Linked DNA regions of Astyanax mexicanus. The protein of the gene in region 3 purifies or fractionates together with the protein of the main gene of each other region. This does not show direct contact. Links are inferred from orthologs where the notes say so. Each region holds a gene or a part of one and is shown on either strand. Other genes may lie near its edges. The genes, in order: pnn, ythdc1, srpk2 and srrm1.

What was found.
Region 1: the proteins of srpk2 (region 3) and pnn purify together in Homo sapiens (affinity purification with mass spectrometry; 3 studies listed by BioGRID and IntAct, with this or other methods). This does not show direct contact. The link is inferred for Astyanax mexicanus from reciprocal best matches to the Homo sapiens genes SRPK2 and PNN.
Region 2: the proteins of srpk2 (region 3) and ythdc1 purify together in Homo sapiens (affinity purification with mass spectrometry; 4 studies listed by BioGRID and IntAct, with this or other methods). This does not show direct contact. The link is inferred for Astyanax mexicanus from reciprocal best matches to the Homo sapiens genes SRPK2 and YTHDC1.
Region 4: the proteins of srpk2 (region 3) and srrm1 purify together in Homo sapiens (affinity purification with mass spectrometry; 3 studies listed by BioGRID and IntAct, with this or other methods). This does not show direct contact. The link is inferred for Astyanax mexicanus from reciprocal best matches to the Homo sapiens genes SRPK2 and SRRM1.

The regions. Positions count from the first base shown.
Region 1 is NC_064421.1:1,237,278-1,245,840, forward strand, and holds the start of pnn (pinin), read left to right. Parts: upstream 1-5,100; 5' UTR 5,101-5,172; coding exon 5,173-5,285; intron 5,286-8,403; coding exon 8,404-8,475; intron 8,476-8,563. Other genes in the region: gemin2 (gem-associated protein 2), read left to right, coding at 274-318, 1,278-1,346, 1,416-1,526, 2,684-2,742, 3,581-3,617. UniProt on the Homo sapiens protein: Transcriptional activator binding to the E-box 1 core sequence of the E-cadherin promoter gene; the core-binding sequence is 5'CAGGTG-3'. Capable of reversing CTBP1-mediated transcription repression.
Region 2 is NC_064408.1:10,366,960-10,375,170, forward strand, and holds the start of ythdc1 (YTH domain-containing protein 1), read left to right. Parts: upstream 1-4,969; 5' UTR 4,970-5,171; coding exon 5,172-5,199; intron 5,200-7,592; coding exon 7,593-7,694; intron 7,695-7,782; coding exon 7,783-8,081; intron 8,082-8,211. UniProt on the Homo sapiens protein: Regulator of alternative splicing that specifically recognizes and binds N6-methyladenosine (m6A)-containing RNAs.
Region 3 is NC_064409.1:52,787,630-52,795,593, reverse strand, and holds the start of srpk2 (SRSF protein kinase 2), read left to right. Parts: upstream 1-4,325; 5' UTR 4,326-4,447; coding exon 4,448-4,463; intron 4,464-4,733; coding exon 4,734-4,800; intron 4,801-7,964. Other genes in the region: pus7 (pseudouridylate synthase 7 homolog), read right to left, coding at 149-459. UniProt on the Homo sapiens protein: Serine/arginine-rich protein-specific kinase which specifically phosphorylates its substrates at serine residues located in regions rich in arginine/serine dipeptides, known as RS domains and is involved in the phosphorylation of SR splicing factors and the regulation of splicing.
Region 4 is NC_064421.1:41,980,130-41,987,942, forward strand, and holds the start of srrm1 (serine/arginine repetitive matrix protein 1), read left to right. Parts: upstream 1-4,455; 5' UTR 4,456-4,534; coding exon 4,535-4,555; intron 4,556-6,533; coding exon 6,534-6,623; intron 6,624-6,737; coding exon 6,738-6,860; intron 6,861-6,866; exon of another isoform or gene 6,867-7,813. UniProt on the Homo sapiens protein: Part of pre- and post-splicing multiprotein mRNP complexes. As a component of the minor spliceosome, involved in the splicing of U12-type introns in pre-mRNAs. Involved in numerous pre-mRNA processing events.

The DNA.
Region 1 (8,563 bases), on a different chromosome or scaffold from region 3:
CTGGGTCTAGTTCTGGTCTAGCACATACTGTATTTTAGTGTAGTTTAGCATGGAGCAGCAGCAGAGATGCATTAGTTAGTAACTGTAGTAATTATTATCTGAATAATAAATCAGGTTAAACTGCACCTGAACAGCCGTTTAGCTCTAAGATGAGGAGTATATTTGATATTTGGGTCAGATCAAGAGCAGAACTTTTCCAACAGATTATTGATTTACTTGGACTAGTATTTATCCACTAATAGTTTCTTCTCGTTCTCTTTCTTGTTTGTTCAGATGGGCTTTCCTCCGTTTCTCAGCATCGTCAGCAAACTCAGTCAGGTGACTTTTTAACATCAGAAAATTATCAGTTAACTGTTGTAAACAAGCCTGTATAAGCCTGTTTATGAAATGCGTTTTTTCCTGTTAGGTTTTTTTGATCTTAGTCGACCTGTTTGTCTGATAACCCTGTAATCTGATAACCCTGTAATCTGATAACCCTGTAATCTGATAACTCTGTGTGTGTGAGAACCCTATATTTTAACAATTATGTACTCTAATAATCCTGTAATATGATAACCCTATTTTTCTGATAACCCTGTGATTTTATAACAATGTAATCTAATAACCCTATTTATCTAATAGCCCTGTAATCTGATAACACTGTAATCTGATAACCCTGTAATCTTAAACTCCTGTGTGTATGATAACCCTGTAATATGATCATTTTGTTTGTCTGAAAACTGTGTAATCTGATAACCCTATTTATCTAATTACCCTGTAATCTAATAAGCATGCTGTCTGATAATTGTGTAATCTGATAACCATGTAATCTATTAACCCTATTTATCTAATAACCCTTTAATATAATAAACCTCTTTATCTAACAACCCTATTTATCTAATAAACTTGTAATCTGATAACCCTGTAATCTGATAGCCCTGACATCTGATAACCCTGTAATCTGATAACCCTATTTATCTAATAACTCTATTTATCTGATAACCTTGTAATCTGATAACCCTGTAATCTAATAACCCTGTAATCTGATAACCCTGTAATCTGATAACCCTTTTTATCTAATAACCCTATAATCTGATAACCCTATTTATCTAATAACCCTGTAATCTGATAACCCTATTTATCTAATAACCCTGTAATCTGATAACCCTGTAATCTTATAACCCTATTTATCTAATAACCCTGTAATCTGATAACCCTGTAATCTGATAACCCTATTTATCTAATACCTCTGTAATCTGATACTCCTGTAATCTTTAACAACTCTTTTTGTTGTGTAGTCGACGGTTTCTGCAGTGCTGGAGTATCTGATCAGCTGGTTTGAGGAGAGAGATTTTGTTCCACAGCTGGTGAGTTTAGTTAAACTCTTCTAAATAACAGAACTTTACAGATGGTACTGAAAGCTCTTATCTCCACAGGGTCAGTGGCTGTATGCATTACTGGCGTGTCTGGAGAAGCCCCTCCTCCCTGAAGCTCATTCGCTGATCAGACAGCTGGCGAGGCGGTGCTCTGCAGTACGAGCAAACCTGGTAAACACTGCCTGCCTCTATTAGCCATTTATATGTAAACCGCTAACAACGAAAATGTAGAGTAGATTCCGAAGTGAAAATGGACAAATAGTATGAAGTTCACTAGAGCTTCACATGACGCCATGACACGAAAACAGAGCTGGTGGATGTTAGAGACCTTGCTCTCCTCCACTTTCTATTTAAGAATGCCCCACAGATGCTCAATTTAAAGCTTTAAAGCTATATCAATTTTGGGGCAGTCCATCACCTTTATCTTCACTTTACTCAGTAAAGCATTTGAGTGCTGAAAGCACTCATACAGCCTCAAACCATGATGCTACCACCACCATGTTTGCCTGTAGGCAAGGGACAATTTTCTTTGTACTCTTTACCAGGACGCCGCCAAATATGCTGGACACCATTTGAGCCAAACAAGTTTATCTTTAACTCCTCAGATCACAGGACATGGTTCCAGTAGTCCATGCTCTTAAACTGCTTGTTTTCAGTAAACTGTGTTCAGGCTTTCTTGTGCATCAGCTTCAGAAGAGGCTACCCTCTAGAACAGTGCGATGCAGACAGAGTTGATCTAATGTGTGCAGTATGTGTGAGCGTATGGTCTGAGCACTGCAGACTGACCTCACACTTCTTCAACCTCTGCAGCAATACTGGCAGCACTATTCTACACATCTGTTTTTTAAAGCCAGCCTCTGAATATAGAAATTTTAAAAGAATTTAGTAATTTTGTCGTAGATTTAGAAGTATGTAGTGATAAAATGATTATAGTAGGAGTCTTCAACATTCATTTTGAACAGGACCTACGTATTACTGTAATCATACTCTGGATTTATTTTTTAGTTTTGAATATTAGATAACCTCAATATTCTTATAGCCTAGGCTATCTTTATATAGAGCAGCAATTCTGTTTCCCACATCCACAGAGAGCTCTTTGCCAAGAGGTGGCATGTTTAATATCCAGTGGCCAAGTATGAGAGAATTGAACCCAAAACACCAAATTTAACCTAAGACCTTGAAACACTAACAAATCACATGACGCCAGGGACGGAAAATGGCTAATTTTGTCACGAATTTATATATAAAACCACACTTGTATATATTTTTAATCTATTGTAAGTATATTATACATGTAAAGTATGTTTTTGTGTTTCATTTTATTCTAGGAGAGCAAAGATGACGACAGGCTGTCAGCACTGAACTTGTTAATCTGTATAGTTGCCAGGTAAACTGTGTTTTTCTAACCAACATATCAATAACTTTAATGGATCATTCTAATGTTATATAGAGTTAATTACAGGTAGATACTCTCACTGATCACTGACTTTATTAATCTTTATTTGGGTTTAGTATTCTAATGTTATATAGAGTTAATTACAGGTAGACACTCTCACTGATCACTGACTTTATTCTTTATGTTTATTCAGGTTTAGTATTCAAATGTTATATAGAGTTAATTACAGGTAGACACTCTCACTTTACAATGACTTTATTCTTTGTGTTTATTTGGGTTTAGTATTCTAATGTTATATAGAGTTATTTACAGGTAGAAACTCTCACTGATCACTGATTGTATTAATGTTTATTTGGGTTTAGTATTGTAATGCTATATAGAGTTAATTACAGGTAGACACACTCACTGATCATTGATTTTATTAATGTTTATTTGGGTTTAGTATCCTAATGTTATATAGAGTTAATTACAGGTAGACACTCTCACTGATCACTGACTTTATTAAATTTTATTTGGGTTTAGGATTCTAATGTTATATAGAGTTAATTACAGGTAGACACTCTCACTGATCACTGACTTTATTAATGTTTATTTGGGTTTAGGATTCTAATGTTATATAGAGCTAATTACAGGTAGACACTCTCACTGATAACTGACTTTATTATTAATGTTTATTTGGGTTTAGTATTCTAATGTTATATAGAGTTAATTACAGGTAGACACTTTCACTAATCACTGACTTTATTATAGTTTATTTGAGTTTATAAATTTTAATGTTATATAAAGTTAATTACAGGTTCTTTTTTTTCCTCTTATTTCTTTTATTTAGGTATTTTGAGCAGATTGATTTGGCTGATAAAGAGTGAAGAAGACGATGCTGCAGATTATGGGAGATTTTTTGTAGATGTCTGTTTTCTATGATTACATGTATGAATGCTGTTATTTGCCAGAAACTGAATGTGTCTCAGCTGATCGACTGATTTCGTGATCAGTGATCAATATTGGTCAGTAGATTTATCAATGAATAGTTCCATTATAAAAACAGTTTACAGTGATTCATTTCAGCTGTATTGAAATAAACCTGTAATAAATCTACTGAGTGTGTTCCAGTTTAGGTTTTGTTTTCTTTTTCCATCACACACTGCATTACATCAGCAGTTTCTGAATGTGACTACTACTACTACTACTATTACTACTACTGATTATACTGACTGGCTAATTTGTCTCTATTTATGGAATTAATTTGGAAATAAAAAGGGAAAATATTTGCTATAAAATTAGAAATTAATATATATAAATATACATTTGTCGTTATTTGAAAATTGTTTTTTTTAATTTGGTCAGTCTTTGCTTTCATTTGTTTGTTTCTGTGGATTTTGTTTTTTGGATTTTGCTGCTAAAAACTTTCAAAATATATATTTGATATATTTATATTTTTATAATAATATATACATATATTTCCCCCCTAATAATAGCAGAAGTGTTAAGTATTTAGCTAATCTAGCACAAACTATTAAACCTTTAAAACCAACTATAATGTCCTACATATTACGGCAAGAACTACTCAGCTAAGTAATTTTTTTTTAATTACTTTAAGAAAAAATAAAGGTCAGTTGATATAAAAACATTCAATAATTGAAAGTATTTTCAAGTGCAGTTGCAAAAATGACCATCAAAAGCGTTATAAAGATAGAACTGGCCCTCATCAGGACCTATTTCCTTACTGTGCAGATGTCCTTCAACAGTACATTTTTTTAGTAATGTTCTAATCCGTATTACGGCAAGAACTACTCAAATATGTAAAGCAAAAAAAATTCTTTAAGAAAAACTGAAGGTCAGTCAATATGAAAAAAATAATAACTGAAAGTATTTTTAAGTGCAGTCGCAAAAAAGATCATAAAATACGTTTTAATGATGAAACTGGCACTCATCAGGACTTGTTTCCTTACTGTGCAAATTACTTGAAAGTCTTTCAACTTGAACTATTTGAGTAATGGTCTAATCTATATTACGGCGAGAACTACTCAACTAAGTAAAGAAAACAATACTATTTTCATTATCAGGTCAGTCGATCTGAAAAATTTCAATAACTCAAAGTGTCCTCAAATGCAGTCGCAATAAAAAAAAAGACCATAAATACGTTAGAATGATTAAACTGGCACTCATCAGGACTTATTTCCTTACTGTGCAGATTATAAACTCTTTGAATCTTGAATCTTTTAGGTTACATGTGACTCTTTATAAGCTGAATAATTGGCTGGCGCTGCCAGCACGAACCACCACGATTGGCGGAAGTTAACGTGAGGGTCGGCGCCTATTGGCTGCTGTGTTTGTCCATCATCAGGTAGAGGTGGAACTCCGGCGGTGCTCCATGCTGGTTAGCGGTAGCGGCAGTAGGGCTAGCTGAGCTATCGGAGCAGGATGGCGGTGGCGGTGCGGAATCTGCAGGATCAGCTGGAGAAGGCAAAGGAGAGCCTGAAGAGTGTGGACGAGAACATACGGAAACTCACTGGCAGAGACCCCAACGAGCTACGGTACGACCGGGGACCGGGATCAGCTCCGGTACAGCGGGGGAACGGGGCTAGCGAGCGGCTAACCGCAGCATGCTAACCGGCTAAGCTAGTTAGCTTACCTTTAGTTTAGAGAGCTAGCTAACGTTAGCTGTGGTTAAATACAGGGGCTGTAGCTCTAATACAGAAAATAGGGTGCACACTTGTGCTCTAACTAGCTAGGGCACTTAAAGCTATTTGGCTAGATTAACATGTAGAATGGGGTAATTACATTCTGTCGATTTCTAACCCCATTAGATAATAAAATAAGCGTTTTACTAATATGTCATATCAGTATTTAAAATGTAATCGCTGCGGTGTGCTACTAAAGTGCACACTTCTGTGTTGTGCCCTAACGAGGGCACTTAAAGCTAGTGTTAGAAGGCTAAACAAGACATTAGGGATTCATTCCAACATACTAGCTAGCTAGCAAAATAAACATTTTACTTATATATATATATATATATATATAATGTCATACATCAATATATAATATTTAATTATGTTTTGTGCCATAGCTAGGGCACGCAAAGCTAGCTAATATGCATTCATACATACATACAATTGCTACGGTTTAAAGTGCATACTTCTGTGTTGTGCCCTAGATAGGGCACTTAAAACTTGCGTTAGTTAGTTAACTAACTAGTTAATATTAATTAATATGTAATATTTAGCACAGTGTTGTCCGTGTTTTCAGTAGTATATAACATTTAACTCTGTTCTGTGCCTTAGTTATGGCACATAAATATAGCTAAAATGAATGCAAACATATATGCATGCATACATACATACATACATACATACAATTGCAATTTGTTTAAAGTCCATACTTCTGTGTTTTAAGAATGCAGAGCTTTGACACTTTCCAACTTATTAGCTAGTTAATATACTAGTACATATAACAAAACATATATATATATATATATATATATATATATATATATATATATATATATATATATATATATATATATATATATATATAGTCAAGTAACGTTAGTTTTATTGTCTAATCTACATATGTAAAGGATATATAGAGGACTTAAAATACAATACAATAAATCAAGATTATTATTGGCCAATAAAATAAATCTATGACTAACATGTAATACAATATATTAATACATTTTTGAATTGCTGCGGTCTAGTGTGCTAGTGTGTGTGCTAATTAGGGCACCTAAATTAACTAGATTAGCAAAGCAGTTAGCTAGCATTGGTTTCAGACTAGATTGGAGTGAAAGGTGCATTCCAATTTTGACCACTTGTTAATAAAAAACAATATTTTATTGTGCAATTTAAGCTAATTACCTAACTTTTATAGTTTAAGGTAGAGTAAGTTGTTGTATAATAACGTGTTTAAAACGTTCCCTCGGCTTGTTTAAGCGAGAGTTACAGGTGGTAGATAGTTAGTGTATTGGGACGCACCCGAAGCTCTTCCTGCCTAACTAGGGCGAAACTGCGCAAAGCTAAGCTAGGCTAGCGAAACTGTGTTAGCTTAGCTTAGCAAGCCCAGCACTGATTGAGCTCAGCAATGCTATGCTAAGCTAATTTTTAAGGCGTATGGTGTCATTTATGAAGGTGAAAGTGTAGTTTTATAGCTAATATACACCAACAGAAAGGATATGGGTGCATGATAATACAGATTGTCTCCTAATATTGTAGATAAATATTAAATATTTTAGTTATTTCTGACAAATTTGCTGCTAATGTTTGCTAACTACATAGTTAGCAGTTAGCTCAGCTGTCTTTAACTCATGCTGACTAGCATAACTAGCTATCCTAGCTAACGTTACCTCAGTGTCAAAATATAATATTTACACTTTATTAAAATGTTTATTTAAGTACTGTGGTGATTTACAGCACATTTAAAGGTTTGTTATCTAGTTCATCAGTTAAAACAGTAGCTGGTGAGTGTAATATTAGGCTATTTGGTTAATATAACAGTTAAAATGGTATATAATATTTCTACAGGCCAAGCAGTGCTGTCAGTCATGTGTGTTTTTTAATAAGTATAATCAACAAACTGCAATGTTTAAGGTATAGTTACTGTAATTCGTGCATTATAAGTATTAGAAATTAACTTACTTTTATAATCTTGGCAGAATTTAAGGCTGCTTTCACACCTACCTTTTTGTGGTAGTGCTGGGTGGTATGACTGAAAATATGTATCATCATGTAGATCACATTTATCTATCTATCTATCTATCTATCTATCTATCTATCTATCTATCTATCTATCTATCTATCTATCTATCTATCTACAGGCCTGGAAAAATATATAGGTATATGTTTAAGTAAAATTAACATTTTATTCTATAAGCTACAGACAACATTTTTTTTATTCCAAATAAACATATTTTTATTTATAGCAATTATTTGCAGGAAATGAGAAATGGCTGAAATAACGAAAAAGATGCAGAGCTTTCAGACCTCAAATAATGCAAATAAAACAAGTTCAAATTCATAACGTTTTAAGAGTATAGAAATCAGTATTTGGTGGAATAACCCTGTTTTTTAATCACCTTTTTCATGCATCTTTGAATGTTCTCCTCCACCAGTCTTACACACTGCTTTTGGATTACTTTATGCTGCTTTACTCCTGGTGCAAAAATTCAAGCAGTTGGTGTTTTGTCGTATCACCAAAAGTATTGCTAAAATACCATGAAATGTTGTGATCTTATTTTAAGGCCATATTGCCCATTCCTACCAGGCAGTGTATAATATCAAACATTAAATGATATCTTTAGTTAGTATAGGGTTAACTTGGTCCCACAAAATTACAGAATATAAAAAGGAATCTGTCTGCATTTACAGATACGATGGAAAACTTAAAAAGATATACCAACAACCGTTAACACAGCTTCCTTATCAACAAAATATATTTTAAGACAGTTCTATAAACAGACCTAAAATACTCGATTTCTCAACTGTTCTATTGCACAAGTAAGACAGGGTAAATATAAATGTACTAATTATAGTTATAAGGTGGGGTGCATGTATGTAAAGGGAGTGGGATTTAGACAGAAAGCTAGAATTCAGCACAACACCTGTAGATATCTGCAGTGTTTTAAAGCCCACTCACTCTGATCTGCTTTGGTTTCAGGCCGGGTCAGACCAGGCGTTTGTCCATCACAGGCCCAGGTGGAGGTAGGGGGCGTGGCATCGGTATACTGAGGTGAGTCTGTGTTTTGCTTTATTCGGATGATAAATCTTCTGCGTGTTGTTGGTTTGCGTTTGTAATAAAACGCCTCGTTTTTCTTGTT
Region 2 (8,211 bases), on a different chromosome or scaffold from region 3:
CTTCTTTAATATATTTACATTCTACTAAAATACATTCATTTACAATCAGCATATATGCAGCTGAAACAGGGAGGAGCCTAGTGCATCCCAAGTTATATTATCAACATTAACATTTTAATAATATAACATTAAATAGTCATCATAGCTTTAAGAAAAATGTGTTTTGGGGAGGGGGAGGTAGTGAACTCTAGGACTCTATAGTGTCGTGGACTAAGCTTTTGTTCTTAATGGCATTTTTTCCCTATTTTACGTTACTTTTACTTTTATACTTTAAGTAATTTTAAAACCAGTACTTTTACACTTTTACTCAAAGAGTAAAAAGCTTGAGTTGATACTTTAACTTCTACAGTAGTATTTTAATCCCCAGTATCTACAGTATACTTCTACCTACAGAGTAATGAATGTCAACACTTTTCAAACCTTTGGTAGTTTCTCTATTGTTATAAATCTGCTGCTTTATTACAGGTGTTGTGGAGATACTCAGGACAGAAACCTGATACTCTTGCTCCGAACACAAAACTCTATGACTGGATTCCTCAGAATGACCTACTAGGTAAAGAGCACACATTTTATCTATACTATACTACTATTTAAACTATTTGAATTAAAAAATTAATATATCATTTAAAACATTGTTGTATATTGTGATTGACTAAAGTCCGGTGAAATGTTACGGACTAGTACCATTTTCCTCCGTAGAAAAAGAACCCTTAAATCATATCATATTAAAAGCACTTAAACATAAACACTTAAAAATAACATTAATACGTATAATATAAAGGCAGGAAAATCACTTGATCCTAATATTTAACCTTTAAATCAAGGGCTCCCTTAAATTCTTACAGTATTTTTGGTTCAAACCTTCACTATACCATTTAATGTGTTTTGATTTTTTCATCAGTGCTGATTAATAACTCTACACCTCCAATCTTTTTTATACATATGTTTTATTGGACATTATATTAAGTTACAGTACACATAATAACAAAAAACAATGTTAACATCCATTTTCTCCTAAACAACATTTTGTAAAAAAAACAAAAAAAAAAAAAACGTTGGTCTACTGAGAAAATAAAAAATATATAGATAAAGAGGAGATAAGTAGCATTTTTAGGATAAACAATGAATTAAAATGTAAAACATATAAACAAGAATAGAAAATAATATTGAAAAAGTAATAAATAATAATAATAAAAGTAAAAGTAGCAATGAGTGTGGTAGGCACACAATATGATCGATTAGTTCAATAAATAAAGATAGAGGCCCTTAAGAATTAGTGAGTTTATGGACAAATGTTACAAATGTTCTATAACATGCTCTAATTAGGTTAGATTAGATTCTATTCCATAAGATTTTAGCTTTATTGTCATTGAGTCAGTTCAAGTACAAGCTTGTACTGTACTGTAATACAGTAATTTACATCTGATTCTTTCAGGACATCCCAAGACCAAGGCTTTCGTCACCCATGGTGGGACTAATGGACTGTATGAGGCTATTTACCATGGTGTTCCAATGGTGGGTATACCACTGTTTGGAGATCAGCCGGATAACCTGTTCCACATGAAGACCAAGGGAGCAGCTGAAATTGTTGAATTCCTCAAAATGACGAGTGGAGACCTGAAGGAGGCTCTCACTGCAGTCATTACCAATCCATCGTGAGTTTTCATTTATTAGGAAGGGGATTATTTTATGAGCGTTTTCACATGTCAGAACCAATTTTGCGGTCTGCCAGCATTCAGTGCTTAAATAGAATGAAACCAAAAATAAATTAAATAATTTGTTGAAATGATTTAAATGGTTTAAGACTGAAGAGGTTATTTATTATTTTATCCTATTTTTAAGTAGTCATTTTAGTAGGTATTTAGTCTATTCATATGCATATCACATTAGCTTTGTTTTTTTTTTGTTTTTTTACCTAATTAAGAACAAATCCATAGCACAGTAGGTAAAGTAAAGCATAACTACACCAAACTAACAAATTTTTTAGTTATTAAAGTTATTGAAGTCCGTAAACGGTAAATGGTAGTGTGGTTTTGGATCACATAACGTACGATTCACAATTTTGAGGAGCAGATTGAGAATTTTTCAGATTAGAAAAAAAGAACAGTAATTGACAGTCATTTTTAAAGTATCAGTAACTTTTAGCTTTCAGTTTGAACATCTTACTGCTTAGTTTGTATTATTAGAAAACTTCTAATTAAATAAAAACTTCTATATTATATAGAAAATTATAATATTATATAAAACAGTTGGTACTTCTGGCAGTGTGGGCAGTGTGCCAAGTCCTGCTGGAAAATGAAATCCCCATCTCCATAAAAGTTGTCATCAGAGGGAAGCATGAAGTGCTGTAAGATTTTCCAGGAAAACAAAACTGCACTGACTTTAGACTTGATAATAAAACACAGTGGATCAACACCAGCAGATGACATGTCTCTCCAAACCATCACTGATCATCAGTAAATGATTAAGGGATCAGAGTCTGGAGGAAGAGTGGACAGACAGTCCAAACTGCTTGAGGTCTAGTGTGAAGTTTCCACCAATCAGTGATGGTTTGGAGAGTCATCTGCTGGTGTTAAGTTTCACATTTTGAGCTGAATTCCTGAAATAAAGTTTCCAATGATATTCTTATTTTTTAAGATGCAATAGTATATTGTTTAAAAAAGTTATCAGTGATTGGCCTAGAAAAATAAATCAATTTTTTTTGCAATTTCTAAGATATGATTAGCGACTGCCTTAATCCAGTGTAGCAATTTGCCTTAAAAAAAAAAACTAAAGAAACACACATCGGTTATCAAGCATATATTGACTAATTGAATACATTTGAGGTAATGCATTTTTCACTGAAATATTCTAATAGAAATTTTGTGGTAAATCTGGCACCAAAGTTTGCAAATCTGGACAAATGATTTAATCTAATGCACAATGCAATAAATACAGGCTTTGCTCAAACCGCAATCTTTACATGATCTAAACAGTATTATTAATATTTCCTTTCTTCTCTCAGGTACAAAGAGAGCATGATGAGACTTTCCCGCATCCACCATGATCGACCAGTGAAAGCCCTGGACGAGGCTGTCTACTGGATCGAGTTTGTGATGCGCAACAAGGGTGCGAAACACCTGAGAGTCGAGGCCCATAACCTCACTTGGTATCAGTACCACTGCCTGGACGTTATTGCCTTTTTACTCGTAATAGTCGCTCTGGTCATCTTTATCTTTGTGAAAACGTGCAAGTGGCTGTTCCGTAAATGTTGCAGAAGATCCTCCGCCAAGAGCAAGAAGGAGTGAAAAAGCTGTGTGAATCGTACTGCACTGTAGTAAAGAGTCTCATGTCTTATTATAGGTTTGAAGACTGAAAATGCTGTGTTTTACTGTAAATCCTTTGTGTCACGCAACAACCTTGTATCTCCAGTTTTAACATTTCAATCTTTTTGACATAATTTGAAACTGAATGTATTTTTAATGATGAGGGGACCAAGAGAAATGGCCTAAAGTGATTTCCATCAAAACTTAAGAAGATGCATCCTTCTCCTGTGAAGTTGCCTTTATGAAATTACATTGTTTTTGCATCACCTTGATATTTTATTGTGTGTGAATGTACTGGATTTTAATTGTTATTCCAACACAAATTAGGGACAAAAAATAGACACACTCTTTACAGTGCCTATGTCATAAGTTTACACTGTTTTTTACAAAGTAGGTGAATGTTAGTTCTAAGATATTTTAATTATAGGTGTTTTATAATTAATTTACACTTCTCTCGACAGGATTAATGTTCAGGGATTTTGTTTGTGTCTTTTTATTTTGAATAAAATACTATTTTGATTATTTAAATGGGTAATTTTTCATATTTTTCTTAAATCAACCAATGACACAGTCTCCTGTCCCTGTTTTTTGTATTTTAAATTCACCCCTTACAACAGTATAAAAGAAATTACTTTGGTGTTAAGGTGTTTCAACAGCCAAAATAATATACTATAGAGCATTAATCCTACCAATTCATGTACTGACAAAACACACACTAGTAACCACACTTGCTCGGAGTGGACCCAGGGATCTGTAAGCCACCATTGCCTTAATATAATTTAACACTATAAGTATATTAGTATATCGTCGCTGTCCAGTAAAAAACAAGTATCTCCATTTTTGTCAATTTTTAGTTTACGACATAATTTTAACGCACAAACTGTCCCTTTTGCTGTTGTATTTTTGTAATGATTGTAGTCATAACTTTGTTTGTGACCTAATTTTGTGTTTCCAATAAAAAAAATGTGTGCAGAAAAAATATTTTTTGAAAAAAGAATAAATAAAAAAAATGAACCAATAAAATAAAAAATAAAATTTAATAAAAAATAATTTTGCTTTTGTATTTTTGTAATGATTGTTGTTTGTGACCTAATTTTGCGTTTCTTTTCTGTGCTTTGGATTGTATGTTGTGCACAAACAAAATAAAAAAAACATCTATTCTATATACGACAGGCAATATTTCTCCCAAATTCCAAATAAAAAATATTGTCAGAAATGAGAAATGTCTGAAATAACAAAAAGATGCAGAGCTTTCAGACCTCAGATAATGCAAAATGAACAATTTCATATTCATAAAGATTTAAGAGTTCAGAAATCAATATTGGGTGGAATAACCCGGGTTTTAATTACTGTTTTTATACATCTTGGCATGTTCTCCTCCACCAGTCTTAGACACTGCTTTTGGATAACTTTATTTCACACTGGTGCAAAAATTCAAGCAGTTCAGCTTGGTTTGATGGCTTGTGATTATCCATTTTATATTCCAGAGGTTTTAAATTTGGTAAAATCAAAGAAACTCATCCTTTTTACGTGGTATTTTTTTCCAGAGCTGTATATACATATTTATAAAACATTTTATTCTAAAATTGCCATCTGGGTTTTCTACTGTGTGTGTTAGGAGGAGGGGAAGTACGTGTTTCCTTACTATCTGGCAACCCTGCCGCAGTGCTAGGAATCCCTCAGCCATTTTAGACTGGAGAGCGGAGGATTAGCCAGGCAGCAGCGGCGGAGCGGCGGAGCTGCGTGTGTGTTTTCACTGATTCCCGAGGATTTCGATTATAACCAGTTTACTGAATAAAGACGCTGGATAAAGGAGACAAAACGAGGCAGCGCAGAGTCTCCGCTAACCCGAGGAAGGAGCCGAAAATGGCCGTCGATCGACGAGACGACAAAGGTAGAGAGAGACTGAGCTAGGCTAGGCTAGCCTATGCTAAGCTAACTGCACCTTTGTCTGCGGGGCTGTTTATGGATTAATAACGCTGCTAACGGCTATCTTAGCTTAGCTAACACAGCCTCAGCGCTGACAACTCGACCTTTAACCGAGTATGACTTTCCATATATTTATTTTAATTACAGTATTTAACGACATTACGCTTTATACATTTTAAACTGTGTAGTTGCGAAATGCTACAGTTAGAGATAGCAAGGTAACTTAGTGTTTTTGTCAGTGCTGTTGAAAGTAGGGCAGTGTTTAGTGTAACCTGCTGATCCGCTGTCTGAGTGTCTGATTCATTAGCTAGTTAACCTACCTAATGGTTAATAACTTAGGAAAGTTATATTAATTTCAATAAAAAAGAACAATAAGGACATATTAAGGTCCTAAACTAGCTGGGATGTTTTGTTTGGGGGGCTTCAAATAGGCCCAAGTTGTAGGACAGTGGCAATATGTAGCTATACAGCTCTGGAAAAAAAGACCTTTTAAAACGTTTTTTTTTTAACCAAATTTAAAACCTCGAATATAATAAAGAGAAAGGTGGATGACCACAAGCCATCAAACCAAACTGAACTGCTTGAATTTTTGCACCAGGAGTGGAAAGGTTATCAAAAAGCAGTGTGTAAGACTGGTGGAGGAGAACATGCCAAGATGCATGAAAACTGTGAATAAAAAACAGGGTTATTCCATCAAATATTGAATTCGGAACTCTTAAAACGTTATGATTATGAACTTGTTTTCATTGCATTATTAGAAGTCTGAAAGCTCTGCATCTTTCTTGTTGTTTCAGCCATTTCTCCTTTTCTTCAAATAAATGCTCTAAAAGACAATATTTTTATTTGGAGTTTTGGAGAAATATTGTCTGTAATTTATATAATAAAACAACAATGTTCATTTTACTCACACATATACCTATAAATAGCAAAATCAGAGAAACTGATTTAGAAAGTGAAGTGGTGGTCTCTTAATTTGTTCCAGAATGTGTGTAGTTGTATATGTTTGATTTTGGGTAGATAAATACATAACTATTAAACTATGCAGTTACGTTGGATAGAATGAACATATTTTGTTCTTTCAATAAGAACATACTCTGGAGACACAAGCATCCATCAATGTTATGATGTAATGGCCAGGGACTACAAGAAAAAGGCCTTGGTTTCAGGAGCATGACTTTGTTGGGGGGTAGGTGGGTGGTTCAGTGAATAAGAGTGTGTTAAGCATAGTACAGCATATTTATCTGTAGGGATAAGCAATATGGCCCTAAAATAATATCACGATTTGTGGTATTTATGCAATATGCAAATCAGTCAATCAGTAATACTTTCCCCCTGCTGATGTTCAACTATCTGCGTCTCACTGCTATCAGAAGCAGACTGCTGCAGCTCAGCCAGTCAGCTTTTTCTCCTGCCACGCCTCTAAACCCATACATCACCCAGTGCCCCTTTTAAACTACCCTTCCCGTTTTCTAGCATTTTTCAAATTTGAGCTGAGGATTGAGTCAGCTAAAATCAGGGGGTTTAGTTACCCTTTGATAGTTTACATCTAACACTGGTGTCAGAGGTGACTTATTTTATCAGTGTTGTAAACCCTGCCGACTAACATAGCAGTGTTACAAATATAATGGAGTTTTTTTCATACAATTACAGTTTTTTCCTCTGACTATATTTAGGGTGTTTTCACATCTGAAAGTCCGGATCAGGGTGTGTGTCTTTTTGTTACAGTGCATATATTGTATTTGGTCTGGTTAGTTTTTGGTTAGTAAGGTTCACACTGCAGTTTAGTGAGCAGACTAAAGAACTTTTACTACATCCTGTCATAATCAGCTATTTTGGTTTCGTCTCTCTACATATTAATCTCTCTACATATTTATCTCCCTACATATTAATTGGTTTGTAGAATGGTCGTTATGAGGTAAGCGAATTACTTTGCCAGGTGTTGCGCCCTTGAGTGGAACCAAGACTCAAAATGGGGGCCCATCCTCTTCTGGTAATCTAGAACACCTGATTATAGCCAAAAACAAAGTAATTAATTTTTATACTGTTTTAGTGTATTAGGTGTGAGCTGCAGTAATGGGATGTTTTAGGTTTGGTTTGTTTCTTCAGGTTAGGATTGCTAGTTTTTTTTTTTTTTTTTAACCCTCTGATGTGGGCCTAATATAGATATTTGGTCTGTAGTTAGCATGTTCTATTTATTCCGTCTGTTTGTTGATGTCTTGACTTGCTAATTTTAAAGCTAAAGGCAGTAATTCACCATTAAGTTAAACCCCATAATCCTCCCTTGCCCTGAATATGATTGATTATAGAATGATGTTCTTTGATACCAAGTTTTAAACCTTTTTAAAATTATCTTTTCAGATGGAGAGCTTAATGTTCTTGAAGACATATTGACTGATGCTCCAGACCAAGATGACGAGCTGTACAACCCTGAAAGTGAACACGGTGTCAGTGAAAAGAAAGGTATGTATTTCTTTAATTAAGGTAGAAGGAGAAAGGCTGTGATAGAGTTATTAAGTGAGAATGTGTTTGTCACTCTTCTCTTACTCAGGGTCCAAAAGGAAGAACGATCGTGGGGACAGCCACGATACAAAGCGGCTTCGATCTGCAGGCCACTCGACCAGGCAGCCAGTTAAAAGGTCAGCCCCTTCCACAGGAGCCAATGGGAAGAAAGTGACTAATCTAAGAGGAAGACACCCACCTGAAGACTTTTACGATGATAGAAAGAACCATTCTGGCAGAGGTGGGTCGTCCAGGGCTGACCTGTCTAAAGGGCACAGTGAGAAACCCCTGAACCGGAGCAGAGACCAACAGAGGAGGATTAAACCGCTGATGCCGGAGCTGAATGAGGTGGGTGGAGCAGCAGACCACATTTATTTGCTTCTGGTGGTTTTATGTTTTATGCCTTAATTTGAATAGTAAATTAAGTTGAAGCAGTCACTTTTAGTTTTGCATAGGATATAAGTATTACAAATGGAAT
Region 3 (7,964 bases):
GGTTTTCCGACAGGGATTAAGCCTAGTCGTCGATTATATTTTATTTTCAAAGGAAAATCTCTATTCAGAATGCAGAACAATTCCTATATGGCAAATGTGTGGAACTTTGACATTATGTGTACCTTTCCAGGCAGACTGACCCACTAACCTCTCTTTCAGGATTCCAGAGAAGCCATTATGCTCACTGACAAACTTGCAAATGCCCACATCCACTTCACTGAGACCATACTTCATCATGTCAGCAAAGCTCTCTCCTTCTCCATCACATTCTTCCAGAGCCTCCTCTTCTTCCTCCCCTTCCAGCTCCTCTTTATCATCTTCTGTCCGCTTAGTGGCATGGCTGCCATTTGCTTCATCCTGAACTTTGACTCTTTTAGCAATGTGCTCTGAATCCTCTTCTGGGCATGTCCGCTTCTCTCCAACATGAACTGGCTCTGCCAAGGGCTCCTTGTCCTCCATTGGCACAAAGCTGATATCATAGTAAAAAAAGGAAGAGAAATAAGGAAAGGCAGAGTTATACTGCAGGCTGTTGATTCCACAGTGTGAGATCTAACTACACTGAGTTACTTACTGAGTGGAGGTAAACGAGAAAAACTAGGAGAGAAATCTCTTTGTTGTGTTCAGATGATTTAAGCCTTGCTGAGAGATAACAGAAACACTTTCTTGCAGGATGAAAAGAGAGCAGTTCTGTAGAATAGAAAAGAGACATACATGTACATATATAATAAAGCTGTGTAGCACAGTGAGCACTAGCTGGCTGATTCATCCTGCCAGACCCTAAGGCTAAGTTTTAACCGAATTACTTTAAGGCTTGACAGTCCCTATACATTTTTGGGGGGTTAACAAATATTAAGCACCTATTTCACAAATGGATGTCCAACAAATTACCAGTAAGTAAATAAGGTACAGTATGGTATTGTACAATACCCAGAAATTGGTTATGCCATGGAGGGTTAACATTCTTAATCAGCTTAAACAGACCATGTTGGTTTTTTAAAGCAGTGTAGTATTTTCCTTCCCTTTTTTACCCATTAAAATTTCTTGTCTCGTATACAGGCTACAGGTGTAGATGATACAAAACCCTTTTTTCTTCTAAAATCTCCAACAGTACACTTGGAGAAGCTGTCTATTTTCTCTCTACTCCACTTAATAATTCCATATCAGTAACAGGAATCAACACAAATTTTGCATGATTGAAAATAAATGTAAAAACTACACAAACAAATATTGATTTTAAAATGAAGTTCAGGAAAGAGCCAATTATTTTGACATTAGCAGATTTACTTATTATTATTTTTATATATTTTCTATTACAATTACAATTATAATATTTAGTAATGTTCCTTATCAAACACAAGCTTTTTATGTAATGCTTGAATAGAAACCCTTAAGATTTAGTGGCTTAATTTTAGGCAGACAATTGACAAAAAAGCTTGGCCTGTTAAGGGGTTAAAGGGGTGGGAATTTAATGCCGTCAATCATTAATGTGGTGAGGTTACCGGAGTATGTTAGCAGAACAATCTCCACACTCTGTTACTTCCACTGTGGAAAAAAACAACTGTTATGCTAATCAGAAGAATACAGGTAAATGGTAATTGCTAGCCACTATTTAATAAAAAATAACTATCAAGCAGTGCTGGAGGGAGTCCGGCACATTCTTAAACTGAGCGGCTAGTCCGTTTCTGATTTTCCGCTGTGAGTTATGTTAGGGTTAACTGACTGTATCCGCACTGTGCCGCTGTGAATGCTATGCTATTAATATACGTTTACCGGATAATAATTTAATATAGCTAACCCAGCTAGATAACTGAGGTGTATGTGAGTGAATCTGATAATAGTATAGCGCCCACCTTCTCCAGCCCAGTCCTGATAGCCGCCGTGCTGCTCTAAACATCAAACCACGTGTCCACGTGCCCGCTCTCCTCCGGAAGTGTTTACTGGGTTAAGCTCCGCCTGCGCGCTTGTTTTTCCCTTTTTATTTATTCGGTAATCACAAAAATCACACATTTTATCAAACAAAAAGAGTATCGGTTTACAAAATATACTCTTTTATACAATATAACGTACAGTGCCAGTTAAAAGTTGGGACACACCTCTTTTCATTTTCATGTCTTTTCTTTCTTTTTATGTTTTTTTTACATTGTAAATGTAATATTGAAGACTATATTCAAGCTATACAGGAACACGTGAGATTAATTTGTAAACCAAATGACCCTTATATGACCCCATATGACCCTTAATTGTTTAATGTCTTTAATGTAGAAAATAAATATATAAATAAAGAAAAACAATGAATGAGAAGGTATGTACAGACTTTAGACTGGTACTGTATAAACACATAAAAATATAATTCTATAACACTCACAATCTTCTGCGTATTGTTAGCTTTTTGGGTATAAAGGAAGTTAAGCAGGCAATCATGCAGCAATTTTAAATGGGTGCTAAACTGTTTCAAATAACCCTTAGAGGTTATTCCGGTTTTGTGTAAATTACATTTTCCCAGCATCACTTTAGCACCTAGAAACGTTACATAATTTTTAGTGATCTATCTGTATAATTATATCTGTAATAAAAACATAATTTGTAATGTTTTTGCATAAAATGTTTGATTTAGATTTTAATGAAAATAAAAAGGGGCCCAAAAATAAACGTTTTATTCTTCAACATTATGAAAAGTATAGATGTAAAAGAGGTAATCTCACCCAAACGCCACAAGCAAAGAGAAAACAATACATTGGAGGAGCCTACACAATTCCGTGTGTACATGAATGGGTTAAAACGTCCAACGCTCTTGGATGTTAATGTTAAAATCTGGCTAAAATATTGTCCAGCAGATGGTGCTGTGGCTCTGAGCCAATGCATGTTGTTCATTATTCAAATCCCCTTCTTAAAGCAGGACCAGGGACACAGGCCTGTGTTGTTTGCGTGTGAATTATCGAAATAACCTTTTTTACATATGTGTATAGAAGTCCATCATTTGTAGCAAGCATTGTTTATAAAGCGTTTTGTGTATTATCATCAAATTATTATGTATGCATTGCGCAGTTATGCATATTATACAGTTAGAATGATTTAGTAAAAAAATGTGCACAGTCCCATGTTGATTAAACTCTGTGGGGTGGATTAGGCAGATGTAAGGACCGAAGGTCGAATATATGAACAGATGGGTGGATAAAAAGGGACTGTGTGTGAATGTTAACTGCTATCCGGATTTTTTTTAGCCCCTCCGATGTCTGCATAGACTATATGTATTCTCACACATGACAACAAATATTATTACCACAAAACTCGGCCTGCAGTTGTGTCTTAGGCAGATATGTAAATTAATAGGTGTGCTCTGATTACACTGGGTCCTGCCAGAAGAGGGTGTAAAATTGCTTTTTTTAGGAAGTGTTCCTCTTTGTGACTGCTAACCATGCCTATATGATGCACTCAATGAAACTTTGCGCAGTTGACAGACATTGAGAGAAAACACCTTACTGGACTGAGAGAAGGTGTTAACGATTGCCTCACCTTTTGTTTGCAGTTGTGTCATGAACTACAAACCTGAAATTCTTACAAGCTGGAACCGTATTCATCTTCAGTGAATAATCCAGGTTCTGTTTGGGATTTGATAGTGGTCCGGTTTGTGTATGCTGGAACGACACACTGCCCCAACTGCTGGTGTGGTAATCTGGAGAGCCTTCGCACAGGACAGTTGGTCACCCATAGTGCACTGCAGATTATTATTATTACCACAAAACTCGGCCTGCAGTCCTGTTTTAGGCATATATATAAATTAATAGGTGTGCTCTGATTCCACACTGGGTCTTGCCAGAAGGGTGTAAAATTGCTTTTCTCACTACCACATTGAAAGGCTGTGTGAGTGGCTTTTTTGGGGAAGTGCACCTCTTCGTGAGAGATTGTTGACTGCATGCCTATACAATGCATTCAAAGATACTTTGCCCAGTTGACAGACTTGGAGAGGGAACACCTCACTTGACTGAGAGAAGTAGGGTGGTTGTTTTGTTGGCAAGCTATTGCACACAGTTGTTCACCCCTAGTAGTGATACTAATAGCTTAACCATATATTCAGTACATCCTGTGGCTACATGTGCAGAATTACCTAAAATATGTTTTGATCACCTACATATATCATCCCATATCATACATTCACAAATAGGAAGTTTAATATAATTCTAACAGTTCTTCTCGGAGAATATATATATTATTTTTTTGTCAGTACGTGTATATTTAGATGTTCCTTGTGTTTTAAATGTGCTTTACAGGCTCGTGCGGGAGTGAATCCATCCTGTGTAGCTTCTCAGTGAAGGATGGATGAGGATGCGCGTGCACGCGCGGCTCCTCCCACTCTCCTAGACAGCGGGAGCGCGCCTCCATCCTCCAGCCGCGCTGGAGAGAGAACCGGGCTGCCGCTGCTGGCGCTGAGGCGAGGAGGATAAACACCATGAGCTCCAGAAAGGGTACACTAAACACTATAGACTATTTAAATTCACGCAGACATCTGCTCGTTTCGGCGGGGCTTCTGAAAACCTCGCGTCCAGCCCTGCTGTCGCGTTGCGTGACCTTTTTTTGGATATTGTTGTTGTGTGTTAATGTACGATGCTTTCTTTCCACGGTCAGCTAACCTAGCTCTCTGTCTCATCGAGCCCCTCTGTTTTCCCTCTGTTCTCTTTCTGGCGTCCCTCCCCCCGGTGCTGCCTGCCCTCCGTCTCCTGCTTGCTCTCCTCCAGTGATGGCTATCCAGGCTCGGAAGAGGAGGCCGAAGGGGAAGAAAGACAAGGCGGCTCACCACCGGAGGTAAGTAAGCAGGGGCGTGGGTCGTAGGGGCAGCTCTCGGAGTTTGTATCTGTGTGTATATAGAGTGTATAGGTTGCTTCTATGGGCTGGTAGCATTGAGGTAACGTTAGCTCGCTGCTGTTACTGATGCGGGCTCTCAGCGCGTGAGCACAACACGCGACCGTTACGGGGGGAGGTTAGCTAGCTAGTGTTGACAGCAGCCCCGGCGAGGGGCGGCGTGTGGACGGTACTGATGACTGACCGTAACGCTATATAGCTAGTTCTCACCAACCATATAACACATACACACACACACACACACACATAGTCACAGATATGCAGCTTTTGAGGGCTGAAACAGGCTGAATGAGCGGGGTTCAAATCGTTGCTAACATTAGCTAACGATAAATGTTGATTGAATACAGCGCTGTTTCACTGTGCAATCTGCCCAGCGAGTCGCGAGTTGCTAATGGCAACGGCCCGAGCTAAAGCGTCGCCTCGCGCTTCCTCGCTGTGCTCGAGTTTGCATGGACTAGCTTACTAGTCACATTTATGGCAATTTAGTTATGTAAGAGCACACACATGTACGCGCGCGCGCACATACACAGTGTAATATATGTGTTACATATTTTAACATTAATTTGTTTAACCAGAGCTACGTTATTACAGATATCTACTATTATTGCATGCCTAAACATTTTATCAAATTAATATAACGCTGTTTATATTAGCTTAGAATAAAAACCTATTTGAGACACTTTGGATTCCATTGCCCTTCAGTTGTATAGAAGCTCCAATTCAACATATCTGCTATTCATTATTTCTGATCATCTGAAATAAAACAACATTTTAGTCATCAAAATTGTCCTTCTTTTACTAGTAAGGCTGTAAATGCAGATATCTTGAATTGCCATTTCAAATATACAAAATGTAATTGATACCAGATACTAGAGTAAAAACTCTATTATGTATATCTAGCATTCAATTGTGAACAGTCAGACTTTAATCTTGTATGTGTGTGTGTGTGTGAGTGAAAGGGGGTGGATTATGAGCTAGCTATGAAGATGGTGTGTGTGTGTTGTGGGCTGGATTGAGGGAGATGTGGCTGGATGATGTGACAGATGTGGAGCTGATGCTTTTGGGGGCGTGGGCGTGCTGCTAGCGCTGGGTTCAGGGTAGAGGGGAGATGTTGGTGTGTTTAGTGTGTGTGAGAACTCCGTGTAAGAAACGTGGGCGTTTAGAGGAGATATTAGCCGGTGTTTTAAGCGGTGGTCGCTGAGCGGAGCGCGGTGCAGCGGTGGGACTAATGCTGAGCGGTTGGCTGGGTTGAGTGACAGCGGCTTCATGGCGCCACGCGATTGGCGCGACGTCACCGCCAGCCGTTTGGTGATTCCCGGGCTGTAGCCGCGAGCCGAAGAATATGCTGGAAAAGCCAGCGTGCTTTTCTAATGCAAGACACCTCCATGTGTCTCACACTGCGAGCCTTGCATGGCGCGATGGGATGCTATCCATGATGCCTCGCACGAGCACTGTTAATACAGTAGCAACAAGATAATAATATTCTCAATGCATACTGCATGTTTTGTTTTTATATATTTCATATGTGGAACAGACTTAATGTCCCTATAGTAGGGGTGTACTAATACACGTTTTTAGGTTAAATATAGTGTATGGAATAATCTTATTTTATATTGTGAGGGATGCATCAATAGTGAAATTATAATGTGGTGCCAATATCCAACATTTTTCACAAACTTATTTACATTTGTCGATATAGACATTGAAAGCTCTTATGTTTGTGACTCTTAAATGTTTCAGATCATCAAACAAATGTAAACATTAGTCAAAAGCCCTATCCAGGTGGGATTAGTTTCTCAGGGGGACTTCTACTCAGTGATAAAACTCTTGCATCTGGACTGCAATTGAAAAGCAGGAGGACCAGTGAGTGGCATTGCGTTCAGTAGCCCCTCCATTTCCACTCGCTGTTGTGTTTACGTGGATCTTCGTGTAAACGCCCAAAGTGTAATTATGGTGCATGGCAGAGGACAAAAAGCTATTTTATTAAACGGTGACGAAACTCTCAGAGCATCCAGACGGGAATAAAATTACAGTAGGTAATTCAGCTTGTAATTTTCAAGTTTTTGAATAAAGTTTTTTACTACAGGAGGAAAAACATCAAAACTACATGGCCCTGTGTGATAAAGTGTGCCCCTCCCAGTTAAAACTGAACTGTGGTTCAATTTCTCTAGCCACACCCATGCCTGATTACTGCCACACCTGTTCTCAATCAAGAAATTACTTAAATAGGACCTGCCTGGCAAAAGTGAACACATCATGCCAATATCAAAAGAAATTCAGGAACAAATGAGAAAGAATGCAATTGAGATCTATCAGTCTGGAAAAGGGTCCTCAAGGGATTTGGACCTGACAGCTGTGTAGCCTTAAAAAAACCTCATCAGTGAAGCTAGCTGGAAAAACAGCTTTTATTATGGATTCTGGAGCAATTGGAGAAGGTCATGTGGTCCAAAAAGTCTGGGGGGGCGGTGCTATGATCTAGGGTTGCTGCAGTTTGTCAGGGTATGTTCAGCAATGGTTTGTGCCCAAAGAATGTGGTGTGCTGACTGCCTAAACCTACTAAACGACCAGGTTATACCATCAATTAATTTTTCTTCCCTGATGACATAGGCATATTACAAGACAATGCCAGCATTCATCTTGCTCAGATTATGAAAGAGTAGTTCAGGGAGCATGAAACGGTGCCACAGCGAATGTGTGCCATAATCAAATTTATAGGCTGTCCAAATAAATATTAGAGTGTGTGACCGTATGCACGGTCAAGTATAACATTAATAATAATTTTATGATACCCTACATGTTTTTACACCTTGTACAATATAGGAAAACTGTAATTCTGTAATTGCAGAATGTGGCTCATCAGTTTCTGTGCATACATTATCATCCTCCTTTCACCCTGTGCATTGGTCAGGCACACCCCAGAGAAGGTATTATTTGGGTGGTGGATTATTCCACCACAGTACTACAGTGACACTGACACGGGAGCAGTGTGTTAATGTGTGTTGTGCTGGTAGAAGTGGAACAGACACAGCAGTGCTGCTGGAGTTTTTAAACACTGTGTGCACGCATTGTGCACTCTGTTAAAAACGCCTACCTGGCAGTACACCTTG
Region 4 (7,813 bases), on a different chromosome or scaffold from region 3:
TAAGATAACCTAATTTGCTGTGTTAATGAACATAGCTCATTAGCAATCAGGTTAAGATAGCTTAACTGGCTGTGTTAATGAGTATAGCTCATTAGCAACCAGGTTAAGCTAGCCTAACTGGCTCTGTTATTGAAAAAAAAAATACCTTATTGGCCGCTAGGTTACGCTAACCTAATTAGCTTTGTTATAAGAAACAAGGGAAATTAACCAAATTTGCTTTGTTAATGCAAATAGCTTATTAGCAGCCAGGTTAAGCTAACCTAATGAGATGGTTCTGTTAATAAATACAGCTCATTGGCATCCAGGAGAACTGACTGTGTTAATGAATATAGCTCATTAGCAGCAAAGTTATGCTAAGCTAACTTGCTCTGGTAATAAATATAGCTCATTGCCAGCCAACTAAACTACCAGAATTGGCTGTGTTAAAGAATACAACTTATTAGCAGCAACGTTATGCTAAGCTTACTTGCTCTGTTAATAAATATAGCTCATTAGCAGCCTAAGAAATGAACCTAACTGGTTCTGTTAATGAATATAGGTCATTAGCAGTCAGGAAAATTAACCTAACTGGTAGTGGCAGTGAATATAGCTTATTAGTAGTGAAGTTATGCTATGCTAACTTTCTATGGTAATAAATTTAGCTCATTAGCATCCAGGTGAACTAACCAAACTTGCTAGCTTAAAGAATATAGCTCATTAGTAGTCAGGTTAAGCTAAACTAATTGGCTCTGTTAATGCTAGTAGCTCATTAGCAGCCAGGGTAAGCTGGCTAAACAAAACATTTATGCAAATGAATATAGCCTGATTGTTTCTTCTAATGAATATATTGTTTATTATCAGCCAGGTTACTGAATATGGTTATTAGCATTTAGTTTGCGTTAAACATTTTACTAGCATCCGTTCATATCTAGTTATCCCCAGTGAAATAAACATTACTATGTATTTAATTATGTCAGTTAAATAAAACTAATAATGCTGTTATACTAGAAATCCTGGGACAAAAAAAAACTTTTTTTTTCTTTTTCCCATCAAATTGTACTTTCAACCTACTAATATTTCTGTTATTCTACATACTATATTTTACTGTCCTAAAATTATCATTTATCATTTTCTTACTCTGCTTTTGTTCAATAGTATTGTAATGAAACTTGGTTGTCTTGGTTTGACTGCTCTGGGACAGATTTTACTCTCAATTCCCTGTAACCTCAGGGAACCATCATCGGCTATCAGGCTTGATGGTTACATAGTCTTAAGGGTGTTGACCAGAGTGCAGTGTTTGGGATTGGCTCTGGGTGCTTCTCTTAAACACAGTTGTTCCTTATGATGGTCTTGTCTGGTTAGGGGCCTTATTTATTTTTTATGGCACTTAGAAGTTTAGCATTTAGTTTGGTGGTGTGGATTTTCTATAACTAGATATTTATTTTTTATTTAACAAATAACATATGAATTCAGACTGCTCTTATGCTCAAAGTAATGATAATATAAACAGGCACCATCTGGTTCAATATTATTGGTCTTGTCCGTAATGTACTCAATCATATCATTCTGAATTACCACTAAATGCTGCCTTGTATTTCCCTGTTTCTCCATTCACAAAACCTAGCCTTTCATGCTGAAGTTCCAATTACGTTCTTCTGTCCCGTCATCCATATAGCTGTTTAACGTCATTGGGATAATACAAGTACTTCTTTTCAATCTTACTCAAGCTCATTCTCGCTCTCCCTCTCTCTTTCTTTGCCTTACTCTTGCAAATAAGTGAGTATGATGTATAGGTCAAAGACCATTTGTTTTCCAGCCAATTCATGCCAATATGACACTGCAAAAACTGGACAACAGCTCTTACACAGGCCTGGGCCCATGGATAAACACTGCAGTTGGGGCCAGTTCAATTTCAGAAAAGTCAATTCAGCAGGTGAACCAAATTCAGGGGACGAACACAATTCACAACGAATCTGCTCAGTATTACAATTTAGCGTTTGAGACAGAGCATCTCCTGAACTATACACAGAAACTCTCTCCTTCTCCATCTATGGGGTGTGATTTTGGGGGGCCCAACTGATATTGTGTAGAGATAAGCCTTTACAATATGTTAACATTTCATATTGAAGGCACATTAGCTTATTGTTTTCATGCCGAAATTGGGGGAATAAATTGCAGTGTAAATTTATATCAGAAAAAAAAATAAAACAAAATTCTCCCAATGGAAAGGTTCTTTTTTTATTTCTTCAAAGACTGTTTTGATTTCTGACATTTTAAAAGGTAAAAGAGCAAAAAAACAGCATGATGATAGAAATCATGCTAGACGTTTAACAAATGGAATCTTGTGGATCTACGATACTCTAGGATAATGCTTGTAGTGATAATCTGGGACATTCTTCTGATTTTCCTGAGGAAACCCTCCCAAATATTTATTTATCTATCTATATATTGGTAGGAATTGCCTTAAAACACTAGTAAAGATTGTTAATTGAGTTGAATCTCCAAAGTCTTTAGCAAACAGTCATTTTTTTCAGATATGTTTTTAAGTAACACACGTCTTTTAATAGTTAAATTAATTAACTATTTCTTTCTTTCTTCCCTTCTAGGGTAAATGGAATGAAGCATATGCATATATTGTTTATTTTTGAGTTTAAGCAGCTTTAACACTTTTATCTATATTTTATACATCATTTAAAAATAACTAGTTTAAAACACTTTACACACAGGGGTTTAGGATAATGGTTTATATCAAGAGTGTGACTTCAAGTCAAAATAAAATGTGCCTTATTAATATTTATGTCAATGTTAATAGCTTGTCAAATTTGGTCTACCTTCACTGAACTAATCTCCATGATTTAGGGCTCGTCTTCAATCGGTAAGTCATGAGATTTTGACTGTAGGATACAGTACGATACTGTACGATACAGTACCTGTCAAAAGTTTGGACACCTTAAATGCAGCGTTTTTTAATTGTTTTAAAACTTTTTGCATTGTACATTAATACTAAAGCCATCTAAACTATTAAAAAACATAGGGAATTGTTTAGTAATAAAAAGTCTTAGACAAACCAGAATGTTTTATAGTTTAGATTCTGCAAAGTAGTACCTCTTGCTTAGATGACAGTTTTGCTCATCTTGGCTGGATTTTCTCACTCAGCTTTATGAGGAAGAGTCACCTGGAATTGCTTTCAGTTAACAGCTGTGCTGATCTTGCCTCTTAATGTGTTTTAGAGCATTTCAAGAACTTTAAAAGTATCCTGAAGTGCCGTCACAAAGACCATCAAAACCATTATGATGATCATCAGAACCGCCCCAGGAAAGGAAGAGCAGGAGTTTCCTCTGTTGCACAGGATAAGATCATCAGAGTTACCATCCTCAGAAACCCAAAGTTAACAGCTCCCCAGATAAGAGCATCTAAATGTTTCAGAGTTTTTTGGTTTATTTAACACTTTTAAGTTTCATCATAATCTGGATGACTTCAGTATTTATTTACAATGTAGGAAAAAAATTAAAACATTAAAAAGGAAAAGATGTGTCCCATGTTTTAAACGGTACTGTAAATTATATACTTTTGAACTATTGCTCATTTTAGAGGAGCCAAAACAACTGTCATTTGTTTTGTTTTTTTGTGTGTTTTCTAAAAAAAAAAAAAACATGTAATATAAAATTATTTATTGGGGATTGTGTTCGAAAGGTGTTGATACCCAGGCCTGGAAGATATACCATGCAACATTTTATATCGTTAGCCTGGAAACTGTGTTTTTCCCACATTTGCTTCTCATAAAGTGCTTTGGAATAATAGTGTTATTACAATTGGAATAAAATCATTGTTTTTCCCTAAACGGTATAATCAAGATAACGTTTTTGTTTTATTTAGCAAGGATGGGAATATCCTTTTTTATTATTTTTAATTGGAAATAATCTATTTCTTATTTCATTTAAAGAATGTAAAATTGTTATTAAAACTATTCCCACTGGTTTAAATCATTTAATGAATACTGAATTAAATTGTATAACATTACCTTTTTTACCTCAAAGACATAATTTGTTATATTAAATAAAATAAAAAATCTCCTGAAACTGGAACTGTATTATATTCATGAAGAACATTTTTTTTGAAGAATACACCCAAATTCACATTTTTTTAACTGAAATTCAATGTATCATGTAAAGCTTTAGAATTGTTAATGACACAAAAAAACACTAAATTTCTAAAAAGCTATGATGGGATTTTTGACATGTAAGTGTATTGGGGGAAATGGAACGTTTGGGTTTTTTATGTTTATGTTCTCATTGATATTATATATATACATTACATTTTGTATTGTATTGTATGTATTATACCGTTTGTATATGTGTGCACAGCATATTGCAAAGTGCAATGAAAAAATATCCTTAATAGTGCGCACTACTTAGTGTGTAAGTGCGCAGGGATCCAGAGCGCCAATCGGGACGGGGCCGGGCTTCTTCTGGTAAATGAGCTCAGCAGCGCGGTGGGTTGTGGGGGACGGCAGCGCGTTTTCCACAGACGGTTTTTGTCGCACCTCTCGGTGGAAATGGACGCGGGATTTTTCCGCGTAAGTTCCCGTTCAAGCTGGATTTACTGCGTTTTGGCGGGACGTTAGGAAATAGGGGGTTACTGTGGATGTATGTAGTTAATAACCTGGCGTTTATTCGCCTTATTTTACTGCAGTATTGGAGCCCTGTACCGCGGCGCTAGCAGTGATTAGCCGGTATGCTAGCTAGCTTAGGTAGCTTAGCTAAGCTAACTTAGCCAAGCTAACTTAGCCTAGCCTGGAGAGCGAGCGTAGTGCGGAATGGCAAGAGAGCGGCTAGGGGATATGTTATTAGTTGAATAGGTTAATTTCGGTATAACAGACTTCTGTAAATGTCTTTAGGTCGCTTGTCTTGATGGTATATATCTACAGCCACGCTTTTAATCTGGTTACATATCTTATTAAAGTGTAGAATAGTCGTAACTCTTAAGCGGCGGTCTGCGCGCGGCCGGGCTGTGTTCCCATTAAACCTGTCGGTTAGCATGCAAGCTAACGTTCCTCTTAGCTTCCACTCGCAGAGCAGAAAACTGCGCTGTTTCTGCTTTTAATACCAGGATTTAACACAGTTTACTGATAATTCTCTTTATCTGTAGATTAAAGAAAACACGTAAGGAGTCAGGGCGCTGTTAAATTAGTCTGGGAATACCGCTGAATAGGTCAGGTAAGATTAGGGTAGCTAGCATTAGCTGTCTCGTGCTTCCATCAGATCGTGTGGAGGAAATGCTGTGGTTAATTAGCTTGTCAGCTAACTTTAACTAACTATAGCTAACTTTATGTAGTAAGAGTCTATAACATAGTTAGTGTTAACTAGTTGACTATGCCATTTAAATTCAGTATATTTAGGGATGTACAGATAAGGGAATTATTTGCTGATATCAAATAACGTTATATATGAAAAGTTGTGTATCTGCCAATATACAGTTTACAACTATATAAAAAGGGTCCATTATTTAATAGTATTTGCTACAGAACGTTTTAACTAATTATTTACTGAAATTTGTTAAGACATTGTTAACCATTACAACATAATTTAACTAACGTCTCAATTTATTACCATTTGTTCATAACATTATGATGCATAATTTAACACTAATTGTATACCTTACATTTTAGATTTTAAGCAATTGTGTCCGAACAATAGAATTAAAGATTTCTTATGAGAATTTTACTTATTTACATTTTTGGTTTCCAAATTTATTTAGGTACAGTTAACTAGTTCTTACATAGACTGGTCAAAACGTTAACCCCTCTTTTTTAACTTAACAGGTTAAATAAAACAAATATATTAAAAGTAATAAATATGAGCATAAATCAATGTGTTTTAAAATGTATTTATTTTTTTATTAAATTAAGGAAATAATTTATTATATTGATAGAATGCAATGTTAAATAAAGGGAATGCTGCTTTTATTAATTTTGTTTCAAATAAGGAAATAATTAATTTAAAGAAACAGATTGTTAAGCTTCAAGTTATGTCTTTGAGGCAATGCTTTATTCAGTTGCTGGATTTAAATATTACATTGATTAAACAATTATATTAAAAGAATGATCTATTCAGTTAAGAGGAATTTTTGTTCAATCGTGGAAACGGAATGACTGACACATGACCACTGCAGGGTTAAATAAAATTGTTATTGGTTCTCTTACACACTCCACAGAATTGTTATGTGCATGCTACTTATGTTAATAGTGTTCTTCTAATGCTCATAATGATTTATCAATTTGCAAGATAACTTGGATGATTTTTGGGGTAAATAGAAGAAAATAAGTTAGTCAACAGGTTAGGCTTCCTACCACACCACAATGTAAATAATTTATAACTTTAGTATCACAAGTAGGAATGTGTAAGGAAGATTTGAAGGCGCTTTAAGAATCCAGGGTTTTGGCTTATCTTAAATCCATGCTTTACACCAACAAGGTTGTTGATGTCAGTTTTTCCTGGGACCTTGAAATTAATCTGCATAACTTTCCAATTCATACACTTAACTCTTTTATGCAGGGAACGAGTGCGGAGCAAGATAATCGCTTCAGCAACAAACACAAGAAGTTGCTGAAGCAGCTGAAGTTTGCAGAATGTCTGGAGAAAAAGGTTTGACAATGTTTTTATTTTGTTTTACAGCATGAACATATGTTCTTGTTTGTCTGTTAGTTTTCAATGTTTTGTTTTTTTGACGTATTTTCTTTCAATTTTTTTGTCTTTAAGGTGGATATGACAAAGGTAAACCTGGAGGTCATCAAGCCCTGGATCACCCAGCGAGTGACGGAGATCCTTGGCTTTGAGGACGATGTCGTCATCGAGTTCATTTTTAACCAGCTGGAGGAGAAGGTAGCCTTCATTGATTCTGTTCCTCTGCTCTTTTTGTGGTTACATGCAGGCAGGATTTGCAGTAGTTGTTCTTTTTACATCATCTGGATGGCAGAGGGGTTGGAGAAAAGGGCATTGCAACAGACATGTGCTTTAGAGTCTAACTTGAACCCATTATTGTAGCAGCACAGTGTCACCTGTCTGGTAGAAATGGGTAAAGAATCATATGGACTTGCTGAAGATGCTGAACTTGCTTTGTGGGGTTTTGACGTCTTTTCTAATGATGATGTGATTTATGATTTAAAAGGCCTGAACCAATATGGATGTAATACCTTGCAACAGAAGTATAGCACCAACACCTAATTAGATCTCACCTGAGCCCAAAGTCTCACTGAACCCAACTCTCCCTTGATGATGAACTTTGTTTTTGGAGGTGAGTTATGATCAGGGATTGTACGTATAGAATCGTGTCAAATTTAATTAGTAGTTTGCTTTTTTCCAGAATTGAAATTGATAATTTCAGTTTAAAATGCTTTTGTGTTTGGGCACTAACTGTGCAGAACCAGATATCCCATGATTTTTTTTAATGTTAATTAGCAAAAAAAGTTGAAGTAAATAGTTAACAATATTTTGTACTTTATATGCAAAAACAGTGTTTTTATATGCTTTATTTGCAAGAACAGGTAAAACTGCTCATTTTTTAGAAATGCATATTTTTTCCTGCATTTAAATGGTTTGTTATAAGTAGTTCTAAGATAACTAGAAACTGGACGTGTTTAACTTTTAGCTGTCTGTCTTGGTAAATTAACTAACTATAAAGTTGGTTTTGAATCTTTGGTGGCTGTGGTGAGGACTCACAAAAGGTATTGCCTCGTCTCAATCAGCCGAATTCAGTGTGAAAAGCTAAATAAAGATAAACAGTAATGTGTAAAAGTTTGGGCACTCTTTACGTGGGCAGTAGGTGTTAGTATACA